Cricetulus griseus: one gene and its partner. The protein of the gene in region 1 interacts with the protein of each later gene in a biochemical or structural test. Links are inferred from orthologs where the notes say so. Each region holds a gene or a part of one and is shown on either strand. Other genes may lie near its edges.

What was found. The genes of interacting proteins can lie anywhere in the genome.
Region 2: the proteins of Nf2 (region 1) and Amot form a complex in vitro, tested with the Homo sapiens proteins (2 studies listed by BioGRID and IntAct). The link is inferred for Cricetulus griseus from reciprocal best matches to the Homo sapiens genes NF2 and AMOT.

The regions. Positions count from the first base shown.
Region 1 is NW_023276807.1:100,083,622-100,087,275, reverse strand, and holds part of Nf2 (merlin), read right to left. Parts: intron 3,078-3,654; coding exon 2,952-3,077; intron 914-2,951; coding exon 791-913; intron 1-790. UniProt on the Homo sapiens protein: Probable regulator of the Hippo/SWH (Sav/Wts/Hpo) signaling pathway, a signaling pathway that plays a pivotal role in tumor suppression by restricting proliferation and promoting apoptosis.
Region 2 is NC_048604.1:35,461,013-35,464,666, forward strand, and holds part of Amot (angiomotin), read left to right. Parts: intron 1-1,371; coding exon 1,372-1,516; intron 1,517-1,881; coding exon 1,882-1,974; intron 1,975-3,654.

The sequences.
Region 1 (3,654 bases):
AAAAATCATTGATGTACTTCTGGGAAATCAATGTATTTAATGCCCTGTCACAATCTTTTACAGCATGGACAATGGGGCACCTTAGGGCACATAAGCAGCTTTAGTATCAATCACTACAGATAGTCATGAAACTGAGGAGGCTCCCTGACTATGACAAAACAGGTTTCCATCCTTAAATGAAGCACCTCGTTGTGCTCCTAGATGGTCAACCTGTAATTCTTCAATTTAGTTGAATTACTTAAAAGAATACCAACTGCATATTCAGTGAGCCTATCTTTAAGGGGCTTACACTCCAACGAAGGAGGAAATGACAATATACACCCAGAGTAGCACAGAGCAGGCTATCTGAAACACCTTAGGCATAGGACAGACCAAGAGTCACTGCCATTCAGAAGAACTGCCTTGATGATGGGAGATCTTGAACTTTAAAGGAAATTTTTGGCAAGCCTCTGAAGCTTTTCTTTATAACCTCAGAGAACTTTCAAGTTAGCCAGAAGAAACTGAGATCCATGTTCATGGAGGTTTATATATTGGGTAACTCCTTCTGTCTATTCTTCATCACACCTCTGCAATTTCATCTGACACCAATTCTCATCACTTGGGTAAAGTTCTATTCTGAAGATATTTTTTCCCATTATTGAACCAAAAGGACTGACTATTTGGAGGCAGAACATTTTCTGCAGTGTAGAAGCATTTGTGGTCAACTCCAAGGGGTTCACCTGGGCTGCTTCTACAACTATACACAAATCAGTTCTCTTAGAACTGGGGGAGATACCATGGGTAGGCGTACCTGTAAGAAAAATAAGTGTTGCGTGATCTCTTGAACTAGCTCCTCCTCAGCATTTTCAGGATAAAATTTGGCCAGGAAGTGAAATGTAACTGGTTCTTCCTTTGAAACATCATGATCCAACACCTGCAGAATTTCAGAGCAAAAGACATGCTGTGCTGGCTTCTCTTCTTTATGTACTACCATCAGAGCATGCTTTGCAGGGAAGGTATAAAATCCATCCCACTTCCCAAAGGCTGTGTTTCTACAGTTGGAAGCATTCACAGAGCCATACATAGCAGGAGATAACATCCACTTCACTCAGGGAATTCTGAATCAAACCAATCAATAAACCCATGGGGTGACCAGAGCTAACAGTGACCAGAACCAGTGTTCTCAAAGTCACAGAGAATAGTTACAAACTAGAATGCATAACTCAAAGGTCTTGGGCATTATCCTTTATGGAAGACTGAGGATTTACAAAGTTTTATTTTTTCCTGAAATAGTAACATCTTACTTTATTCTTTGCTACTGCCCACTCTAATTAGGTTCTGTTGGAATATAACTTAAATACAATAAACTAGATTTTTGTGTTGTCACTGTGTTATGAATACTAGAAGTGAAACATGGCCATCATGGCAATGCTTTGTTCCTGGAATCTTTCAGAGATGGCCACAAAATGCTTGCAGTGCAGTAAGAAAACCACTGCCTTTAATCTTGTAACAATCCCACCAACCCCCTGAAAAGCTTGGACCATCTGCTCTCCAGAGTGAATTTCATTTCAGGACATAAACATACTACCAGGCTCCATTAACATGTGTCATAATTTATTTCCTTTGAGCAGCAGGTTCTATGACTCCCGATGCCCCCAATCTAATATCCATTTGGCTAACATTCAGGTATGATTTAAAATTCACTTTGCTGAGAATCATAAAAAGACACAGAAAGCTTAGCTGTCTCTGATATGTAATTCTCCATATGCATGCCCAAATTCCAGTGGCAGTCCCCAAGGAACTCAAATTAAGTCTAATCCTAGTTGCCTCTTCAGCACTGTATCTTTGTGGCATTTGGCGTTTCTAGTCATTGGGAATGACCATTGAAACTGACAACCAACAGAAGTTTTAAGCATGAAGGAGATAACCATATACATGTTGTGAACATAATGCGAACATCTCACTTAACACTAGTAAGATGACACTTTTTTAGTTACCATTTTATGTGTTAGATAACTTCAGGGGCAATTGACAGGGGCACCATTTAGGATCAGAATTAGACATGGAGTTACTTTGGGAATCCAGGGTCTTTTGGCCCCGTTCTCCAGCTGTTTTCACTGTTAGGTGGCCAGGAAAATAGATAGACATGTCTTTGTGTGAATATATGAACCCATAAATGGCAGCTTCCCTAAGCCATAGCCATTTCCAAGCCACCTTCAAATTTCTAGAAACCTAGATTTGATGTGCTTAAGAAATCCCAAAGAGGCTGGGCGTTGCGGTGCACGCCTTTAATCCCAGCACTCGGGAGGCAGAGGCAGGCGGATCTCTGTGAGTTCGAACCAGCCTGGTCTACAAGAGCTAGTTCCAGGACAGCCTCCAAAGCCACAGAGAAACCCTGTCTCGAAAAACCAAAAAAAAAAAAAAAAAAAAAAAAAAAGAAATCCCAGAGAATCCTGAGGAGGAAACGGGATTGCTCCTTCATCTCAGGCTCTTTATTCCTTCGGTCTCATTAATGATTAAGTCAGTTGGGTCTTGGTGTTCTCAAATACTTATTAAAAAATAAATAAATGAACATGAGCCCTAGGAGAATCTCTCAAAGACATAAATTGTGTTTTTTTTAAGTATACAAAGATAATTGTAATATTATCCATAAAACCTGACTGGTGGTTCAATAAACTGAAGGGCATAATGCCAAAAAGCAAACAGGGCAGTGACAATGGGCAGAAAAGCTAGTCAAGGTTTAGTCCTGGTGAACCCTGCTTGTCTGGAGAGTCTGTGCAAAGCAGAAATGCCTGTAGGATTTGCCTCCTACATACATGACCTAATCTATATAAAAAAAATTGATCCCTTCTTTACCCTTGTGATACCCCAACAAAGAGCAAATAAGCTAAGCGCAAGCTCAGGGAAAAACAAAACAAAAAAAAACAGGAAGCATAAGCCTCCCCCAGGGTTTCATGGAGATCTAGTCCAACCTTCTTGTCCATTTTGAGCCAGGCCACAGTGTCCTTGATTGTGTACTGAAGTCCAAAGAACCAGGTTTCCCGAAGCCCCAGTGTTCGGCACACCAAATCAAACAGGTCCTTCCCTTTCCATTTCATCTGCAATATAACAAACCAACAGGGAAGGACATTGTGAGCAAAATCATAATCAGCTCACACACAGAACTGTTCTCAGTGCTCTCTACTGTCACCAAAATGGCTGATGAGCACTGAACTCCTAAATAATTGTAAAGCTTCCCACACAAAACCATGAGTGGGAAAATACCAATTAGAGTTTAATGGCTCAATTGCTGTGGAGCACACACAATACCTCCTTGGACAGTTCCATACAGATCTCAATATCCCCAAAGCTGCTAATTTAGGAAACCTGGTAAATAAGCAGCCTCATTTAGGAGAGTCAAGCCTCCTAAATTAGCCCAGGAAGATGGCTAGTTTGTGAGACACTAATTCCCTTGAGTTTGGTTTTTTTTTTTTGGGGGGGGGGTGGTTTTGTTTTTTAAATCATGACTCTGCCTTTTGATAAAAGGTAAGTATTCACTTTTTAACTTAAAGACTAGTTTTACTAGGAGAAAAATTAAATATATGGAAGTTGGAACTAAAATTACAAAAATTGTAGAACAGAAGAACAATGAGAAGTCAGATAGGCCAGTTGCAGATCTCTATCAGGATGCCTGGT
Region 2 (3,654 bases), on another chromosome or scaffold:
GCTTAATAGGCCATGGGGTTTATTTGTCTTATACAAATTATATGCAAATAATCGCCGAGGTCATTACACGTGCACTGGAGCTGTACTGGTCACAGAAAACCTCTGGAGTCTGATTTCTTGTTTTCTTCCTGATTCTGGCTAATTCTGGACAGGAACCTTTGGCTTTCTTCTCCTTTTATCAGATTTGCAGAGAAGTGTCATAAAACAACACAAATCATGACTTTCAGTTAAAAAATCAGCACTAGTTTCCCACTGACTATAGTGCCTATGGGATAAAGTCCAAATGCCTGGCATTTAAAGCCATTTTATGGCCTGACTTCAGTTATCTTCGCAGCCATATCCCTCTAGCTTCCCTGTGGCTACCACACAGTGGCCAGCCAAATTAGACTCCTGGTCATTCTGGGAATGCATTTGCTTACTCAGAATAGAATACCCTTCCCCTCACCTCTGCCCATTGAAATCTAAATAAGCTTTCAGGATCTGACTTCAAATGCCATCTCTCCCTGAAATTATTTTCCTCCCCTCCCCCAACCAGGGAGAACTTCTATTTGCTCCCTGTTCCCTTACAGCTGTGTTTTGCTCTAAATTCTCTGACTTGAGTATATTGAAGGCAAGGATAACATGGGTGCTCTCATTCAGGTTTGGACACAGCACAGGTTAATCATGCCTTCTTAACTAGCTGGCTCTTGATTGAATACTTGTGAAAGTGAACTGAATTATACAGCACGAGGATGGCCATTTGGGTTTTTAGGCATTGAGTCTGCTGCTGATTTGTACTTGGGAAAGGCAATTTAACTGCTCTCTATGCTAACATGGGGCAAGATACATCACCTGGGCAGATGTCAGGACAAAATGAGAGAACCACACAGAAGTCCTTTGTGGGCTTCAAAATAAAGTTATTGCTATACAATATACAGCATTATTAATATTTCTGAAATTAGAAAATTGAGAAATGAAAATCATGTGATATCTATTTTATCTTACTGCCTTCCATGAAGGTAGAAATTACACTACACAACCAACTCCACCCCAACAAAAATACACACACACACAAACACACACACACACACACACACACACACACACACACACACACGGTTTGCTTTTGTCCTAAGGAAATCCCATGATGTAGTTGAATCATGTATTGAGCTCACAGTTGGTCTTGGAGAATCTTTCTTGAACCCAGTGCTTAACTGTGTTACACTTGCCTCCTGGATGATATATATATATATATAATATATATATATATATATATATATATATATATGCTCTGAAAAAAGATGCCACTGAAGTATTACTCTATGTATGGCTCTAAAGTGTCTTTCCCATTAAACTCCCAGAAGAAACACCATCTTTCTTTTTAATGTTAAGGTGGAGACAGAAATCCAGCGGGTCTCAGAGGCATATGAGAATTTGGTGAAGTCATCTTCCAAAAGAGAGGCTCTGGAGAAAGCCATGAGGAACAAGCTGGAGGGGGAGATTCGAAGGATGCATGACTTCAACAGAGATCTGAGAGGTAAGGGAAGAGTGGACTTGACTTTGTAGGGTTTTTTATTAAACAAACAGTTTGCTTGTTTTTTGAGACAAGGTCTCTCTACAGCGTTCAGGCTGGCCTAGGACTTATTGCATAGTCCATGCTGGCCTTGTACTCCAGAATTCCCATGTTTTACCTTCCCAAGTGTGTCCCTACATCTGGCTCTTGCTTTATTTAGTAGGTCTTGTAGTGTTTTGATATTCACTTTTGCAAACTCGGTCTGTGTCACCCATCCTGTTCATCAAAAATGGTGCTGACTTTTGCCAAAGGCCAGTATTTAGAAGACAAACAGCATGGGCTTAGAACTTTGTATGGAAGGACCTGTTCATTATCTTCCCATTCCACAGAGCGCCTAGAGACTGCCAACAAGCAGCTGGCTGAAAAGGAGTATGAAGGGTCAGAGGACACCAGGAAAACCATCTCTCAGCTCTTTGCCAAAAGTAAGTCTAGAAACTGCATACGCAGGTATGGATGTGAGGATGGGCAGTACAAGTCTGGAAATGTCACTTGTCTGGATGGAAGTAAAGTTTATGACGATGTTGCTTGCCTCTCTTTAGCGTTCTAGAACCAAATGAATGTCTTTTTTTCTGTTACTGCATGAAACACCAGGAAGGCTGCTGCCACAGACTCTAGTCACATCAAAGGACTGTTCTCTGTACTAAGTCAGCAAAGCCCATTGGGATCCCTGGATTGTCATGGCGAGCCGAAGGCACAACCTTAGGGCATATTGTCCTTAATAATAACGCTGAAGGGATTATTGTAGGTGATTCCATATACTGCCTCTGGTTGATGGGATGAACATGTGGGGCAATGATTAATGTTTGGAATCCCCAGCCTGTACCAGGGGTTCCCCTACTAAACACCTATTGCAGTATCCTATCATTTCACACTGACAGACTGTGACGATAACCAAACTGTGAGGATAACCAGAGGAGGAAGGGCCTCTGCTGTGACCTGAATTCATGGTTCGGCTTTCAGAGCATACAGGGCTGAGCAGGGCTGTGCTGTCCTCATAATAGTGTTTCCTTTGTCTGGAAATACTCCGAGGACTGTAACAATGAATTCATCCTCTTCTTTATCGGCCCCTAATGGACTCCACCCAGCTAGACAATGCCTAATTCTTTCCAATTGCTATAATAAAAGCAGCAATAAAAACTTCATAGTAGATTGAGTCCACTGGGAGAAGAAATTGGGTTGAGAACAGATGAACTGTCCTTGTTTCTCTGCAGATGCCTAAGGTCGGCTTTGCCCTACCCCAGCCTCCCTCAGTGCAGCTGCCATTGCAACCAATGCTTACTGGGGACTTGTCAGTCTCTTCCATTTTTGCTGGGCCTCCCAATGACCCTTTCATGTCATTCTGTGCCATTTCCAGTTAGCTTTTACAAGTCTGTTTGATCTTCATTTACAATATTCCCTTCCCTGCCTGGGTCGCTCCTGGCTTCCGAACAGTTTTTCTTCCTCTTTGCCCAGAGCCTGTCAGCCCTTTGTCAGTAGTCTAAGAGCCAGGAATGTTGTTTTTCTGGTGTCATCAGAACCTAGGGTAAATTGGGAAGTTGCTTTTGTGGTGTCACGGTTACCCTGGAAGCTCGTTCAGTGGCAGGAAGATGGTGGCAGCCTCCCAGAGTAAAAAAATATATGGATTCTTGCCCTGGATCTGCTAGTTTGTGCTCTCCATGAAGAAATGGTATTTTGGGTGCTCTCAGAGCTCTGCTGTGGGTCTATAAAACATAGTTCTTTACTAAAGCAAACTACATAACCAGCAGAGTGAAAGACCCTCAGAAATTCAAAAACTAGGTGGGGAAGAGAGCATGCCCTTTGTGCCCTTCATTTCTTTTGCATTTGGGCATCCTAAGGGCCCTGCAAGGTGGACTGTAGCAGGAAGAAAGAAAGCTCTCTTGAAAAGCCTTCCCTGGGGGTGTACTTCAGCAACCCCAGAGAGACAGAAGCAATTGAACCCAGAAGGCAGCTGGGTGTAGTAGAAAGGGCTTCAAATCAGTTGAGCGTTAAGTATGGAATCCACCCATCATTTTTCAGTTGGGGGAGCTCTTGCAAGTTAGTCATGCTTGCTTTCCAAATCCTGTTTTCTCATATGCAAAATAGAGACGTGAAGACTAATACCT